Ovis aries: one gene and its partners. The protein of the gene in region 1 interacts with the protein of each later gene in a biochemical or structural test. Links are inferred from orthologs where the notes say so. Each region holds a gene or a part of one and is shown in the gene's direction. Other genes may lie near its edges.

The links.
Region 2: the proteins of XIAP (region 1) and HTRA1 form a complex in vitro, tested with the Homo sapiens proteins (2 studies listed by BioGRID and IntAct, with this or other methods). The link is inferred for Ovis aries from reciprocal best matches to the Homo sapiens genes XIAP and HTRA1.
Region 3: of the proteins of XIAP (region 1) and PTEN, one has a biochemical effect on the other in vitro, tested with the Homo sapiens proteins (2 studies listed by BioGRID). The link is inferred for Ovis aries from reciprocal best matches to the Homo sapiens genes XIAP and PTEN.

What each region holds. Positions count from the first base shown.
Region 1 is NC_056080.1:107,875,645-107,881,669, forward strand, and holds part of XIAP (E3 ubiquitin-protein ligase XIAP), read left to right. Parts: intron 1-1,407; coding exon 1,408-1,608; intron 1,609-6,025.
Region 2 is NC_056075.1:41,837,561-41,843,585, forward strand, and holds part of HTRA1 (serine protease HTRA1), read left to right. Parts: intron 1-1,573; coding exon 1,574-1,673; intron 1,674-2,103; coding exon 2,104-2,308; intron 2,309-6,025. UniProt on the Homo sapiens protein: Serine protease with a variety of targets, including extracellular matrix proteins such as fibronectin. HTRA1-generated fibronectin fragments further induce synovial cells to up-regulate MMP1 and MMP3 production.
Region 3 is NC_056075.1:9,327,753-9,333,777, forward strand, and holds part of PTEN (phosphatidylinositol 3,4,5-trisphosphate 3-phosphatase and dual-specificity protein phosphatase PTEN), read left to right. Parts: intron 1-4,385; coding exon 4,386-4,552; intron 4,553-6,025. UniProt on the Homo sapiens protein: Dual-specificity protein phosphatase, dephosphorylating tyrosine-, serine- and threonine-phosphorylated proteins.

The sequences.
Region 1 (6,025 bases):
ATACAATATGTACTCTGTTGCCTCTGGTTCATTATTATGTTGATGTTTTACTTATCATGTCTATGTGATTGATCCATGTTGTCTGGGGAAGTAGTTCATTCTTCTTCCTTGCTGTTTAGTACTTGAATATACCACAATTTACTTATCCATTCACCTGATAATGGACACTTGAGTTGTTTCCAGTTTGGGGCTGTTATAAATAACACTGCTATGAATATTCTTGTGTATGTCTTTGGTGGGTATATGTACTCATCTTTAATACTGAAGAGTGGGGAATTCCTGGAGGCCTAGTGGTTAGGACTTGGCACTTTCACTGCTGGGGGATGGAGGAGGGAGGGGAGCATGTTCAATCCCTGGTCAGGAAACTAAGATCCCTCAAGCTGCACAGCTTGGAAAAGAAAAAAGGAAAAAAAAATACCCAAGAGTGGAAGTGATGAGTCAGAGGATAGAAGTCTCTTTTAGCACATCACTACACAATCTGGTAAGATTAGTATTCGTCAGGCTAACAAAAGAATAAGAGCTTTGCCCAGGGAGGAGAGTGAACAAAGGCATGAAGTCAAAGCAGAGAGACTGTCTCCTCCTGGAACTAGAAGTAGTTCCTTTGATTTACACCTAGAAATTGGAAGGCCGAGAGCTCTAGTAAGCTCTTCCCAGATGGCTCAATTGGTAAAGAATCCACCTGCCAATGCAGGAGATGTAGGTTGGATCCCTGGGTCAGGAAGGTCCCCTGGAGAAGGGCATGGCAACCCACTCCAGTATTCTTGCCTGGGAAATCCCATAGACAGAGGAGCCTGGCAGGCTGCAGTCCATGGAGTCACAAAGAGTGGACACGACTTAGCGACTAAACACCACCACCACCACCACCACCACAATCACCACAATCTGTAGTCCTACCTTGAGTGTCATTAATGTGATTTTGTATTAGGTTTCTTGCTTTATCTAGTCCACCCCACTCAACTGCAGAAACTAAGTCTGAGAGATAGGAAACTGATACATTGAAGGTCACAGATTGGAACTTCTTCTATTTCCCATGATTTTTTCAAAATAATTGTGGCGATTTGGTAAAGACGTCCACAGTTTCAGAATTTTTGAAGCACTTAACCCTTTTCGTACCTGTTTTACCTTATCTTGTACTGTTTATCATAGTCTTTAAAGCACCTAATCTCAATTCCTAATACAACAAATACATACTCATTGTACTTTCAACTATTTTAAGATTCTGAAAGTGATTCTTCAGTGCCTAAATATTTCTAAATCCTCTTCCCAAAGCAGCTTTGGTTTGCTGATTTGGTTTTGATTTTTTGCTTGTTGCTTAAATTTTTCTTTTTAATGATACTCTGCTATTGAGTTGTGTTAATGAAAATAATTAAAGTCTGTGATTTTTTTCCTCACCAATTTTCATTTCAGATGATAAAATAGTCCAAAATCCTATGGTGCAAGAAGCTATACGAATGGGATTCAGTTTCAAGGACATTAAGAAAACAATGGAGGGGAAAATTCAGACATCTGGGAGCAACTACAAATCACTTGAGGTTCTGGTTGCAGATCTAGTGAATGCTCAGAAAGACAATACACAAGGTGAATCAAGTCAGACTTCATTACAGAAAGGTATGCATGCCTGTGTTTTAAAAGCAAGATACACCTAGTATTTCATTATGGATGGTATCTTATATGACTATGTGGCCCATGCATTTTTCTCTCATATTTCCCTTAGGATAAATGTTTTTTAAAACTTTTTATTATGAAAGATGTCAAACATACTCAAAAATGGAGAGAACAGTATAATGAACCCTCAGATATCCATCAGCCAGCTTCAATAATTGTCAACACTTTTTCAATCTCACTTCCTTTCTTCCTCCAACTTTGTTTTTTGCTGTAGTTTTTCAGAGTAAATCCCAGACATCCTATATACCACTTGCCTATAAATACTTCAATAACTATCTAGGGACTTTTTTTTTTAACATGACCTTAATACTGTGTGTTAATCTGCTCAGACTGTTATAACAGTACCGTAGACTGGGTGGCTTAGACAGCAGACATTTGTTTTTCATACTTCTGGAGGCTGGGAAGTCCAAGGTTCAGGCAGATTTGATTGGTTCCTGGTGAAGTCTCTCTTCTAGGCTGGCAGATGGCTGCCTTCTCTATGTCCTCACTTGGCCAAGAGAGATAGTATTCTGCTTTCTATTCTTCTTCTTATAAGAACATTGATCCCATCATGGAGTCCCATCATCATGACCCCATGTAAACCAAATCACCTTTCAAAGGCCCCACCTCTAAGCACCATCACATAGGGTGTGAGGGCTTCAACGTGAGTTTTGGAGAGAAAGATATTTAGCCCATAATATACTATTGTCACACTTAACAGAATTAACAGTAATTCCATAATATCATCTGAAATTCAGTTGATTTTCATTTTCCTCATCATCTTAATATGTTTTTACAGTTGATTTGTTCTGATCAGGATCCAAGTAAGATCTACTATTAATTAATATCTATTAATTTTTAAAAGTGTAAGTTTATACTCTATTTTAGGTAAAGAACAACAAAGGCTAACTTTTATCGTTGTGTGTAGACTCTCTAAGTTTTTTAGTTGAAACTGCTTGGATTTAGAGTATTTTGCAACTTTCCACATGATATAAATATGTAAAAGGGTCATATTGCTAAATAGGGCTTGAATTAAATGCATTTTAATACTGTGATTCATATACAAAGTGTATTGAATAATGTAGAAGAGAAGTATATGATCATTCTCCAAGCTTTTGACCACCTCTACCAAAAGATGAGAATTCTCCAAGTACTAATGAACTTAAAAGTTCACTTATTTTGTTTTTTACATTCAAGACCCTTTTGATCTTTAAGTTATTTCAGATGCTTTTGAAACATTATTCAGATAATCAAATAAGTCTTAAAGCAGTATAACATTGATGAGTTTTATACTCTAGTTGGTGTAGAAGATTCAGCAGAAAGCAGACTACTCTTTTCCATAAAGACACATTTATTTAAAACCTATAATAGCTCCTCTTGTCTTGGTGATGGTGAAACAAATCATTTACTTTGTGATACAAGTGACTATGTCATTTTCCCCTGCATCTTCACCACAACTCAAACTTAATTAAGTTTGACAGTAAGGTGTTAGTTTTTATACCTGAAGGTGTTTACAGCAGAAGGATTTAGTGGGTTGCAGTAGGAAGAGAACAAAGGACAGAGTGCATTGGGGGGTGTCTCTATTCAACAGGAGTTTGTGGGAGGTTCTCATCATTACCAAGATTACAAGCTGGGGTTGTGTGGGAAAAAGGGCCTAAGTTAATGCCAGTTCTCAAGGGCAAATGTTAGAATTCATCAGTTGATGTCTCCTTAGTCTCACAAAATTGAGAGGCAGGTAATTGATACAGGCAAGCTTTTCACGAGGGGGCTGCTGTCTATTTCTCCTCCCAAAAGCTGATGAGGAAACACTGGCACTAAGAATCTTAATTCTGTACAAAATAGAGGGTGGGCCTAATTGAAGTAAAAGCAGATAAAATTTATTAGAAAAAAATATAATATTATTGTTACTCACTAAGAAATCCTAGATTCAATACTAGCTTTTAGACCATTGTCTCTGTAACAGAGAATACCCCAGTCTTCTAAAGATAGTACCAAATTAGTATCTTTTTCCCTTTCTTTTTAAAAATGACATTGTATGATATAAAGCCCTTTACTTCATGTCTGTGGTAAGATACTTATTTTAATCCTTATATATATATGATAGAATGTAATGTAAAAATCAAATAACCCGTGCACATTTCTTATCAGTCTGTCTTTCCACATAGATCTGCTCTGATTGGAACATGAATAACATCAGTTTATTCTAGAAGTATCTTCTAGAAGTGGTTTATAATAATGCAGTAAAAATATTAGCAGATACCATGAAAAATGATGTAGCTATTGCCTTTATTGCTATATGCCAGGTACCTCCCAACCTAGAAGAGGGCTTTGTGGCAAGTAGAAGGGGAAAGGTGGCTCAGGAAAGGATGTAGAACCCAGTGGTTATTCTTTAGGCTAGAGTGAAGTAATTCACACTTTTAGTACCAAGGACCCAGGTTCAATCCCTGGTCCCGGAGGTAAGATCCCACAAGTCATGTGGTGTGGCCAAAAAAAAACTCAGTCTGGAAAAAAATGCCCAGAGCATCACCATCTCAAGTAAGTGTATGCACTGTAATATGGAACTGTAAGCAATCAGAACCAAAGGAACTTTAAAGATCCTATAATAATTTTCATTACTTCAGAGAAAACTGAGGTGCTGATGAACTGTTACTCAAGATCACACAGATAGTTGGGAGTAAAATTCCAGTTTCCTGACTTCTGGTCCAGTGTTTGTTTATTTTTTTAATTGTGGGGAATTCCCTGGTGGTCCTATAGTTAGGACTTGACACTTTTAGTACCAAGGACCCAGGTTCAGTCCCTGGTCCCAGAGGTAAGATCCCACAAGTCACATGGTGTGGCCAAAAAAAAAAAAAAGTAAATACACATAAAATTTACCCTCTGAGCTATTTTTAAGTGTACAGTTCAGTAGTTTTAAGTACATTCACATTGTTGTGCGGTCAGTCTCCAGAGCTCTTTTCATCTACAAAACTGAAACTCTTTATCTATTGAACAGCTTCCATTTTCCCATTCCCCTGGCAGCCACCATTCTGCTTTCTGTCTCTGTAAATTTGACGACTGTAGGCATCTGATCCAGTGTCCTTTTTTATTCATTGTAGCATCACATGCAAAAGTAATGTGTAAATTAATTGTTTTCCTCTTCATGATTTTTTAGGGGATTACAAAGGTACTTTTAAAAAACACTTCGAAGGGGTAGTTCCCTCACCCCCAGGACTGGCCTGGGGAAGAGAAACTACCTGAGAGGAGGGAACCCCGAAAGAGACCTGCTGTGGACTCCAGGCAAAAGGAATGCCTGGGTACTGGGAGCTGTAAGCATGACGGGAGGAAGTGTAGCGGGACAGGCTCCAGGCACACAGGCGAAGCGCAAGAAGATTGGACAAAAAGCCACAAAGTTACTTGTGTTCCTTCTTTTCATTTGCCTTTTTCAGCTTCTACTGCATGATCTCCGAGTCGTTCTGCTTGTGGACCACAGCAGAAAGCTTGTCATCTCAGTGTTTTCTCTTAACCAAGTCACTCTGCTTTTCCATATTCCGCTGGCAGGCTGGCTTTTGCTGGTTGCCACAGTCTTGGTGATGGCAGGAATATACACTATTCTTTTTTGGTCAGGTGCATCCATATAATATAAATCAGTTTATAATGCCATCCCTTTACTTTTGTTGTTTGCTGTGCCCCGAATGCCTTTTTCCTGTTTGTATAGCTCATCTCATTCCCCACTGCACCCCCGATTTGATTCCCTAAACCCATTTCTTGAACTTGTCCTTCAAGGCTCAGCTCAAAGGTCACTCTTTGAAGTTTCCCCAAAGACCTATAGCACACTTTGCAGCTTTCTCTGCTCTCTCTGTTAAAGCATTTGTAACGTTGTTTTGGAACTTTTTCTGTCCCCTTCTATCTGTTAGGCTTCTTGAGGACAGACAGTTTATCTTTCTTATCTCTGTGTTCCATATTTGAGTTTTGAATTATGCCCAGGAGGTTGCCTTTTAAGAAAAAAAAGAAGCAAATAATCCTTTTCTCCATGGCTAGCGAGGAAAACCTTACTGAAGCAATTCTGGTATCTTTTTCCAGGTTAAAACCTTTCACTGGCTCTGGAGCCCTTGGTGTTAAGTCCATACTCCTTCACATGGGTTACCAGATCCTTCATGATCAGGCTCCTGCTAACCTTCTATAGCCTCATGCTATTTCCCCTTCACATTCTCTTCCCAAACCTTACCTGTGCACTTGCAGGCCTCATTCTGTTTCTCACCTTGGAGCCTTGCCTATATCATTTCCTCTGCCCAGAGCACTCTTCTCCCACTGCTCTTGTCCTTCAAGGTCTAAGGCTTTCTCCCTCTTTTAGTTTACTCGTACTTATCCTTTAGGACCCAATTTAGGTATAATATTTTCTGGA
Region 2 (6,025 bases), on another chromosome or scaffold:
GTTCGTGAGCGGCAGTTTTGCAGGCCAATGGTTTCCTTTGAAACTTCAGGCTTCTTGCGAACCCCACTGTGTGAATGGGCAGAGAGGCAGACCAGGGCCTCTCAGACCATCTGTGGTGAAGGATCAGGGTTTCTTCCCTTGTTATTTCCTACCCATCATGGATCAATATGTTCATAGCATATGCTAAAAATGAATTACTACCAAGATGTAATAAGAAAAGACACAACCAGCCCCATTTACAAATTTTTAGATTTCTCTGTCAAATTTCTTTGTAGGTTTCTGGAATCTCCCTGTGAGTCCCCTCTCCCCGGGCTGGGTGGCAATGCGGCTGGCAGAGTGCTGGGTGCAGCCCTGAGCTAGACTCACGGCTGAGGCAGAGAGGAGGGGAAGGCAGGGTGTGGGATTCTTGGCTGCAGGCTGACCTGGACCCCCTCTGCCGTCCAAGCAGAGAGACTAGGGGTATGACCAGGTGGCACAGGTTTGGGGTCAAAGTAAGAGGCTCAGACTGCCTCTGCCACTCAGGTACCCACAGAATGGGGACTCGGTACCCTGAGTCTCCAGTAGCTCATTTCTGAGTCAGGTGCTGTGGGTGCGTGCATTGGGTTGGTGGCAACTAACTTCTTGCCTTCCTCGAAACCGTATGTGGGATCTGTGATAGCTTTGTCTGAAAGTGGCTTTGTAAATGCCCACGGTATGGGGATTTCCTAATTATAGTGCATATATTTACACAGAGAATTTTGGTCATTGGATTTTTCCCTTTTTTTCCCCCCAGTAGAATCAAGGCATCTTTTGGCCTGGGATGTCTTGGGGTGGGAGGAGTGGAGTGAATGATTAAGATGGAAAACTGCTGCGGGGACAGAGGGGAAGACACTATCTGTGCCTTTGCCTTAGTGCTTTTTCATAGTAGCCTCTTCAGTCTCTAACATCTGATGGGCATCTCATCAGAAACAGCTTCAACCCTCCCCTCGACGGTGGTGGTATGCTGAGAAGGGCTGCTGTGTGGTTCTGGGGGAGTCTGGGAAGGGACACTGGTGGATGGTATGTCAAGGTGACCCTTGGGCCACCCGCTGTTGGAGGTGGGCCCAGGTATCTGCTGATGCCTCTGGGTCAACGTTTTTGTGATGAAATAGTTGAGACCAGGGAAGCCAAGCAAGCAGGTCATCTTTGGTGGGTGTTGCTGCCTCATCTGGGGCTTCCCTGGTGGCTCAGTGGTAATGAATCCACCTGCAATGCAGGAGCCGTAGGAGATACGGGTTCAATCCCTGGGTTGGCAAGATCCCCTGAAGGAGGGCATGGCAACCCACTCCAGTATTCTTGCCTGGAGAATCCCATGGACAGAGGAGACTGGTGGGGTACAGTTCATAGGATCGTCAAGAGCCAAGAGTCAGACACGACTCAAGTGACTCAGCACAGACGCACGTGCATGTGAGTGGGAATTTCCTCAAGTGCTGGAAAGATCTTTGTCTGTGAGCCCAGGTCTGGGATCTTGTCTTCACCCTCCTTTTTTAGTTCTTCTGACCCACAACACAGAGCACAGGATCTTTAAGTATCTTGCCTTTGTTTCTGTTCTTAGGTCAGGAAGATCCCAACAGTCTGCGCCATAAATACAACTTTATTGCCGATGTCGTGGAGAAGATAGCTCCTGCCGTGGTTCACATCGAACTGTTTCGCAAGTAAAGAGCACCTTCCTTTTTTTCCCCCAGTCTCTGAAGCTCCCACCAAAACTGCTGCCATAAGCAAAACATCAGAGCTATTTCTGAGACACTTTAGAGTGTCACTGAATACAGTCCTACAAGAAGATAAGCATCTCCCTTGGGATGTTTTCCTGTTTGCCTATTGAAATCTACATTCTTGACCCTTCTAAGATGTTTTAAGAGCCTCCGGTTCTGAAGAGATTCCCTAAGAATATTTTCTAAGTGGAAGTTTGGGATGTGAATAAAAGTCAGTCTAACATACTATCTTTTAAAGTTTAATAAAGCCATTGTGCAGAGTAACAATTGCTAGTGATAAGTGTCTGTTGCTGTCATAGAACTGACGCATCAGTGTGTCAGAGTGTTGACTTTAAATGTTTCAGCTTTAACCAGGTACTCTTTTTGGTTCTAGGCTTCCTTTTTCTAAGAGGGAAGTGCCGGTGGCCAGTGGGTCTGGATTCATCGTGTCCGAAGATGGACTGATTGTGACAAACGCCCACGTGGTAACCAACAAGCATCGGGTCAAAGTCGAGCTGAAGAATGGCGCCACCTATGAGGCCAAGATCAAAGATGTGGACGAGAAGGCGGACATTGCCCTTATCAAAATTGACCACCAGGTAGGTGTGTTCCCCACCTGCAGGACCAAGTTCTCAGGTGCCTTGGCTGACGCTTGGCTAAGTCCGGAGAGTTCAAAAGACACACCAGAACTCCCTGATTTTGTGAGTTTCTCAAGTGGGACGGAGCCAGTTAGGTCTGGATCAAAGGAGAGCATTTGGGAGATGCTGAGTGTGGCCTGGGGTCGGGAAAGGGTGGGATCGCACGGAAGCTTCTTGAATAAGCAGGCTATAAGGTCAGAGTTTTAATAATAGTGTTCTAAATTTTTATCAAAGCAGTAGGCTTATGAAGAAATGGGTAGGTAAGCAGTGAAAACTGAGTTTCCGTTCCATTCCTACCCCTCAGGCAACTGTTGCTACAGATTTGTGTTCTTTCGTGCACTCACCATGTATAAAGAATTTACTGGGTTTTGAAGTTAACCATCATTAGCATGGAAACAGCTACTCTGAAAACAAACCAGGTCTCCCACACTGGGCTTTTGCAAAGTTACTAGATGTGTTTTAAAACAGTATTTCACACTCAAAAAAGTTTTGGAAACCTTGAATTAAAGCTAATAGATTTTGTCCTCATAGCACTTCTCAAAGCTTTTCATATGCTGATGTGCATAGGACCCTCCTGCAAGAGTGTGACTCTGAACTACAACTATCTGAGCATAGAATTTTTTTTTTTAATTGAGATGTAAAGAGCTCAGTTTGGGAAATGGCTTGCTTTCTGTTGAAATATTCTCCTTGTAGTCATTTTTGTTCTGTTGATTTGTTTAGCAAAATCTTCATGTGTGCATGCTAAGTTGCTTCAGTTGTATCCAACTTTATGCGACCCTATGGACTGCAGCCCGCCAGGCTCCTCTGTCCATGGGATTCTCCAGGCAAGAATACTGGAGTGGGTTGCCATGCCCTCCTCCGGGGGATCTTCCTGACCCAGGGATTGAACCCGTGTCTCTTATAGCTCCTACATTTGACAGGTGGGTTCTTTGCCGTTAGTGCCCCCTGGGAAGCCCAAAATCTTGGCTGAAATCAAGTCCAGTTTTTATCAGACCATCAACAGTTCCCACTTGTTGGTATGTTGATAACAGAGGTTTGGTTTGCTAAGCGGCAAGTACCTAGTGAGATTGAATTTTCTGGTTTTTCCACACTTTGTCATTTTTCAGACTTCATCTGGAAGGAGGAATAGGGATAGATTGGAATCTTGTTTCTGGACCAGGAGAAGGTCATAAACTGAGAGGCAGAGAGAGGTCTTCTTTTCCGGCTCTCTGTGTCTTTTACCTGATCTGAGCTGTGAAGTCAGACCACGGTGAAATAGCATAGGCTGTTTTTGTTTGTGCTGTTGATCAGAGCAGAAACAGGCCCTGTGCCCAGCGTAGGTAACTGACCTCTAGAGAGGTCTCGATTGCATACTATTTCTGTTAGGTTACCATGGGATTTCTGTAACAACTCATCTTTCAAAATGTGTTTATGGGTCATAGTATAGTCATACTAACTTCTGTTTGATAAGCTCCAAAACTGGACCAGGCTCTGCCTTCATTTATAACTTTCACCTGTTCTGTCAATGGCTTTTATCATTCCCATTTTACATAGGAAGGAATAGGGATTCAGAGAGCTTAAGTCACCCGCCTGAGACCACATAGCTAATACTGTGGTGAAATTATAGCCTCCTAAGCTGGACAGAGGGCTTCCCACAGGGGGTGCGGTTTGGATCCCTGGGTCGGGAAGATCACCTTAGAGGAGGGCATGGCAACCCACTCCGGTATTCATGTCTGGAGAGTCCCATGAACCAAGGAGCCTGGCCGTCTGTGGTCCATAGGGTCGCAAAGAGTCGACCATGGCTGAAGCGACTGGGTACACACAGGCAAGCCTGCCAGGCTCCCCAAGTGCCACGGAGGGATGAAGCCTGACCTTTTGGTGTGATGAGATGGCTCAGCTTTAAATAACCCACGGGGAGGCTGGCACACCCCGGTGTAGGATCATACAGCTCGCAAGGTGTCCAGGATGTGGTAGTCTCACCGGAAGGAGGCTGGCCAGAATAGCACATCCTGTGGCCACACGCAGGACTCAGCTCCCCCAGCCCTGGGGAGGCTGCCAGCCATGCGGGCTCTCTCTGCAGGCAGGGCGCTGGTCTGGACCCTGCATGAGCTGCTCCTGCTGAGTAATTTCATGTTTGGCATTCGTGGGAGCATCCCATGCAGCTGCTGTGGCCGGGGGATATTCTTTTCAGCTTCTGAGCCGAGGTGGAGAGCGGGTTCTCCTGTCATCCCTGGCAGGTCCCAGCAGGATGTGGATTATCTCGATGGACCAGCTTTGCAGGGTGTTTCTGACCTGGCTCTTGCTGTTCCCGGGAGGCTAGCCTTCCTGCCAGCAGCAGGCTATTTGAGATGAGTTTCTAGCCCCAGAAAAAGGAGCTTGAAAATTTAAAGTCGAACTAATGTGGCTTTGCAAAATGGAATCGGAAATGAAAGGATATTAAATTGCAGACACCCACACAAGAGACTGGTTTCCAATGACTAAACTGTTTTTTTTTTTTTTTTGCTGATAGTAGTTGGAAGTGGGGAAAGTGAAAACATCTCTTCCAGCTCTTTCCATTTTGTTCCCTTAGTCGGAGGATTGATTATTTAGGAGAGGGGGCAGGGACTGGTTTGTAATGAGGCTCAGTTTGGGAGGAGCCCCTTGATTCAGTGACGACTACGGTGCCCCAGTGCAGGATTTTATAAATGTGTCTGCAGTGCTGGGGATGGGGGTTGGGGGGGCAGTGAGCTTACCTTGCACTGTGTCACCTCAGGAGCAAGAAACAGAGCAGGGAATCTCAGAGGAGGCAGAACAGATCCAGCAAAACTTGAACTTGAGGATCGAACTCATTCCAAATGGCGCCTGCCATCTGAGGTCATGGCTCACTCTCCCCAGGGCTATTTGCTCATAACCCAGTGAAACTGGGGTGACTGCCCCCCACATACGCCGGCCCAGTGGCTAACTTGGTGTCTTATAATGTGGGCCCATTTCCTCCTCCAGTGCCAGGATTTCACGTGAAAGGCTCTCCATCAATAACACTGAGACCCTCCTTCCTGAGTGTGCTATTCCTGCCACTTTTAATGAATGGAAATTACTATGGACACCTGTGGTCACTGCCCACGTCTTCTGGGCGCAGAGGCCAGCATCTCCTTCTGGATCTATTTCTGCCCCCCACCAGACAGTCTTGTGGGGGCACCAGTCATGGCACACCCCCCGCAACCCCCCTGGGGCCAAGGGACACAAGATCCATCAGACCAAGCAGATCCTTCACTTGGAGCAGGAACTGGATGCCAACCACAGGAAAATGACGGGGAAGCTGGTATGGCCCCTGCCGCCGGGGACCCCAGGGCTGTCTGAGCTCCTGCCTTTTCAGAGCCTGATCAGCCAGCCTACTTTCCCTTTCATTCTTCAAGGCCCCCTCACATCTTCTGTAAACCCGCCTGGGCTTGAGCTTGCCAGAGACATTTCTGGGCTTGTGACCAAAGAGCATTTTTGCTCCTCACTGCTGAGCGGGCTCGTGTGCACTCACTTCCCCTGCTGAGTCTGAGCAGGGGAGAACCTTTGGGGGGAACCTCCCTGAACAGGGCAGCTGCCCCCGCCAAGCTGGAGAAGGAGGGTGTCCCCTCCAAAGGCAGCCTGCCTGCCCAGACATGTCTTTCCACTGCCCTTTCCTCGGGGCCACGGACGGGGGCCAGCATTCGCCCGGGGCTGGGGAGGTGG
Region 3 (6,025 bases), on another chromosome or scaffold:
ATCATGTCATTGATGTCTGCCTTTCTCTCTCATCCTGACTTCTGTAAGCCTACCTCAGGTCTCCTGGTCCTTTTCTGCTTCTCTCCTATTCTTTGCCAGAGTTCTTAAGCTAGACTGATAGGAACCTTAAAACCTTGACCCTGAGCAGGCGGTCACGAGAGAACATGTGGAAGTGTTAATACAGCCCTGGAAAAGAACAGACTGTGCTGCTTTTTTCTGTTACAGAGTCTTTTGTATTAGTTTCTGTCTTGGAAGTGATTAGTCGTATTTTCATGTTTGTGTCTGTGTGTGCTCAGTTCTTTCTGACTCTTTGTGACGCCATGGACTGTAGCCCGCCAGGCTCCTCTGTCTATGGGATTTTCCTGGCAAGAATACTGGAGTGGGTTGCCATTTCCTGTTGCATTTCATGTTTAAGAACTGTGTTTTGTTTATTTAGAATACAGTTTTATAGTTTCTAGGTAAGATGTAACTGTGTTATTTTTCTAATACCTCTAACAGTATTTCATTGATACTTTGCAATTTGTTGGTGGTTTTATTTTTTAGCCTAAAGTTTTCTTCTTACAGTATTTATGTAACTTAAAAGCCTTGTGATGCTGAATTAATTTATACCTAGGGAGTTAATTTCTTTATGTTGTTTATGTTGTCAGGTGTGATCACCTTCATTAGATCTTTCCTGTATTCTTAGGGCAAGTTAATTTTATTTATCAAAGACCTTAACATAGCACGTGGAAGACTTCAAAGAGACCTCATTGATGTTTTTGTCATCTCAGTACAATTTTAAAAACTGCTGAGTACAAGGTACTATGCTGTCAAGAGGTGATTGACATACGAACTTAGATTTATAGCAGAGAAGGGAAAGGGGAAAAAAAAAAAACGCAAAAAAACTCATGTTCTTCCTGTAGTGTTAGATATCAGTGTAAGAGCCAAATGGCAAGGTACAAAATATTACAGAAATACACATTTAGTTCAGTAATTTTATCTACTCTACTTTATTTTTCCATATTGGTCTCTCTAGCAAACGTCTGTCAGTTCTTCTCTGCAGTTGTGCTCTCCCTTTAAACCATGTGTGTTGTGTGTGTCTGTGTATATTGGACCTCTTAGTATTATATTTAAACTTTGCAAGTTACTACTGAGATCTGTTTAATCTTTACCAATTTTCTAGTTCTTTGTTTACATACTATGATTCAATACTGTCTAGTAAAGCTGTAATATATAACTAAATGTGTGGTTATACGTGTAAATTACAAATAGTATATTCAGAAAAATCAAGTTGGGGGGAGTTGTCAAATACTTTTGTGAAGGAAGTCCAGCTCTTTATTGAACATTGGAGAAAGCATGCAATTTAGATTGGCCTTTAAACTAAAGAAAATTACAGGCAGTAGGAAATAGCTTGAATTGAAGCACAGCAGAAGGAAATGAGCTGGACAAGAATATAGAGATGGAGAACAGAATAGGAATACAATGTGTGGCTGATTGTTAGAAGACTCCGAACAGGCATGTTGGACTTGATTTGATACATGCTGTGTTGTCAGTGATCGTAGCAGAGGCGTAAGCTGTAGTTAGGTACAGTTTTGTAGAAAGTAGTGACTGCATGAGGGAAGGAAAAACAGTGGAAAATTAAACAGTTGAATTACATGACTTTCTTTAAGCCAGGTATGCTTTGCTGGGGCAGTCAAATGATTAGTTTTTCTTTTGCCATTTATATCTAAATATTTTACTCTGGTCAGGTGAATAAGTCACAGAAAAGGGAAGAAAGAAAAAGGAATCTGAGACTTGGAGACATGAATGTTGATATTTTGGTTTTAAACATATGTTTTAAATCAGGTAAAGGTGAGCTGTTTACATGAACATATTCAATTGGTACTTGAAAGTATGGATTTGAACTTATATGAAAGATATGTCATACTGTTGGAAGCATCAGGAACGAGACATGGTAGTTAAACCTTTCATATAAATTTGATATAGGGCTAGAATATGGAATCAGTCCTGGGTGTTCTTTGGAAGGACTGATGCTAAAAGCTGGAACTCCAGTACTTTGGCCACCTCATGTGAAGAGTTGACTCATTGGAAAAGACTCTGATGCTGGGAGGGACTGGGGGACAGGAGGAGAAGGGGACAACAGAGGATGAGATGGCTGGATGGCATCACTGACTTGATGGATGTGAGTCTGAGTGAACTCCGGGAGTTGGTGATGGACAGGGAGGCCTGGCGTGCTGCGATTCATGGGGTCGCAAAGAGTCGGACACGACTGAGCAACTGAACTGAGCTGAGAATGTGGGAAGGCTCAGACAGAAACGGTGTGAGGGCTGAGACAAACAGGATCCATAATGGTTTCGGTTTAGGAGGAGGAAGAGGAATCAGTGAAGAAAACAAAACGTGGAAATAAAGTATCTTCTGCAAAGTTGCCAGGAGTTAACAACCTTTTTCTTTTTTGATTATTGTCTTAATATTTCTGAATTTAAAAAAAGTTACTATCTTCTATATATCTAAAAGGGTTAAAAAAGTTAATAAAAGATGATCACTGATTTTTCTCTCATAATATAAAATTCTAAGTTTTATTTCATTTCTGTTTTATTAGAGCACCGTTTGTCCTATCAAAGACATATATATATATCAGTCGTGTCTTAGTCAAAAGAACCATACTGATGTTGGACTTCTGTTAAGTGTGGTCTTACCTATCTAAAATGTGAAATTCATACTGTAAAGAAAATTGTCTTCTTTAGGGATGTGAGGGAATGTTTTTCGCTTACTAAAACTTGAGCCTAGTTTTTTGAGGAAATGTCTAAGTAACACTAACTTCTAATGAGAATATTTATACAGCTCGGAAATTCTTGAAGGTGCACATTTTAGACGTAGGTTAATTAAGATCTGTTAATTCAGATTTCACAGTGAGTTTGCTTTTTAAACTCCTAAGATTAAGATGATCAGATTCTGAATTAGTGGAGTTTGAATGAATATGATTACAAGGCATTTTCATCCTGTTTGGTTTTTATCACAGTTTTAAAATCATACTTTGTTCGCTTCTTCAAGCTGGACTTCTCAGTGAAATTTTCAGTATCAAATTAAGTCTTGTAAAATAGCGCATTGTACTTTGAATCTTTAGTCAAGGAAGTGAAGATTATTGATAGGTTGTTAGTGTAACATTTCTCTTTTTAGAGTTCCTTTTTCTCATCAGTGTCTCTCAAATCCATATTGCAGTAAACACTCATACTTTTTATCGCTTACTATTTATTTATTATGTGATTGATGATACTGCATTAAATATTGTATAGATGAGCCAGTAGGTGTTTATTGTACTGGAATATTTATTTAGCTTGAATAAGCTTTTTGCCTTGTCCAGAGCTTCGGTCACATTGATAAAGAATGTGATACATTTTTCCCCCCATATTTAAGAATGATGTCTTTTGGTGATGAGAACTTTATGTCTATATATTTATATATTTCTCATTCACTTTATGCAAGCTTATGTTTTTATTTCGTAATTATCTTGGTATGTTTTGAAAATTTAAAAACCCATTTCTTCCCCCCTCAGTTTAATTACTTTCTTTCTTAACTGCTAGGATCTTAGTGTCCGTGACTGGAAGCCAAATTCTGTCATCAGTGTCATTAGCATAAATGTATTTATGAGTCGATTTAAAAAATAAAACACATAAGCCTTTCTTTTCACACTTAGCTGCCTTTTAATTGCATTGCTAATATAAACATGATATATTTTGAGCTTATTTTATTTTTATTATTATTATTATTTTTTACCATATATTTTAAAACAGACATGGACCAAAGTCAAAATACTTGTTAATGAAAATGGAATGTGTTTCAAAGAGAGGGAGATTGTGCTATAATTTGTACTTGATGTCTGTTGCATTTCTTTGCAAACGCTTCAAATCTCTTTCCTCCTGTTTCTTGTGGTGGTGGCTTTATATACCTTTAAAAATAAAATATGAATTATAGGTAAAATGAAATATGGTTAATATTTTTATAATTATTGAAACTTGTGTTTATGGAATGTACTATAACTTTGTTATAGGTTATATTTTCTTCTGAATGTGTAAGGATTGGTATTTTGTGGTTTTTATTCTGTTTTACAGACTTTAAAATACTGCAGCAAATACCTGTTTTAAAAGTTCCTTTTAATATTACCTCATATTGATGGTACAAATTAGGGAAAATCTGGTATTGATTATATTTTGCTGTAGTTTATTTCCACTGATTTATTTCTATCTATGTATCTCTGTTATTTTGTAACCATTGATTTGTTTTAGTTGGGGCATTAAAGATGCAAAATTACTACTTTGTGTCTGCTGCTAATACTAATCATCAAAATAGCTTTTGACAGTTAAAAACATTTCCTGTGAAGTGATACTAGTATGTATTTGACCATGCAGATCCTCAGTTTGTGGTCTGCCAGCTAAAGGTGAAGATATATTCCTCCAATTCAGGACCCACACGACGGGAAGACAAGTTCATGTACTTTGAGTTCCCTCAGCCGCTGCCTGTGTGTGGTGACATCAAAGTAGAGTTCTTCCACAAACAGAACAAGATGCTAAAAAAGGTTTGCTCTTTACTTTTGTTGGGAAAAATATCCAAAATAGCCATACCTTGAATAGTAACCTCAGATCTTTTGCTTAAAGCATTTAGTTGGGCAGAAATCATTCTGAAAGGAGAGACTAAAAGATGTGTTTTCTGTCTGACATCTAATAAATCATGAATAGTTTTCTACTAAATCTGCACATGCTTTGCTTACTATGGCATCAGTCAGCCGTTATAGTGGTACATAGCCCTAGCAGAAGGAAAAGGCCATCTGACTTTGTAATTTGAGATGAATTTTTCTTAACTTGGCTTATGCAAATAAACTCTATAAAAGTATTGAAGATTGCATATGTACCCCATTCAATCGGCTACAGTCCTGTTAGAAGAGACGATTGATTAAACTGAGAAGTAAGCATGGGGCACGAGTTTGAAAAAACATTTTGGTCTGTTTGTATAAATAAAATCTGTTTCCCCCATTTTGGTTAATGCTTGTTGAGACTGGGTCATTTTATATTTAGCTTCCTCAGATTTACTGAGGAAGTAAATTTATTTCAATTTTCAGCTAGGCGAGGAATAAATATGAAGAGGAAGTAATAAAGAATGAAAAAATGTGGTATTTAAATATACACGTTTAGAAAGTTAGTGAGGTTTGCATCTCACTGAGCTATGTTTAGAGAATATAGGAGCTCATTTTAAAACAAACAGTCTTGGTTTAAAATACTAAGTGTGAACGTTTAAGGTGAGCCTAAGGTACAAAATATTTAGGTAGTAATGAGCAGAAACAGTAGCTGTGTGTATTGTTACTGCCTCCTAAACATACCAGGTAGTAGTGTATCACTAATTTTTAGACAGTCTCCATAGTCAGACTGATTTCATTTTCCTGAATTTTAGCTTTTTGTTGTTGTTGTTGAGAGAAAATGAGGAGGCTTCATTAACTGCAAGAATTTTGACTTCTATTTTGCTTATCAGAAGAAATATATTTTTTTTATCCAGAATCCAAGTAGCTGGAAAATCACAAGATGTAAAACTGATTTTTTTTCACCAGAAACCCATTTCCTATGTGTACTATATAAATAAAAGTTAAGTATATCTCCATAACTTTGAAAATATATTTTTCAATAATCCAAGAGGTATTAATAATTGTTTTGCAGTTAAGGTAAATTTTTTCTTTTATTCATCATAAGACTAGCACACATAAAAATTTTATATTTTGCTTTTAAAAATAAACACCTGTATCACTTTTTCTATACTTCTAGGACTGCACTAATTCTTATTCTTCCAATTTACATTAACACATGTAAAATTGAAGGTTAAGTTAAATATTTATAATACTTTGTTATCTTGAATTACCTTATTTATTTTCATTTTATGTGATTTTCCTTGCATGTTGCAAGAGTTTGGTTTGTTTTAAACAAAGCAGTTTTTCTATAATTAGTGCATTAGCACAATCCACAGTTTTTGAAGTTTTAAATTTTGCTAGTTTATTTTCTTCGGA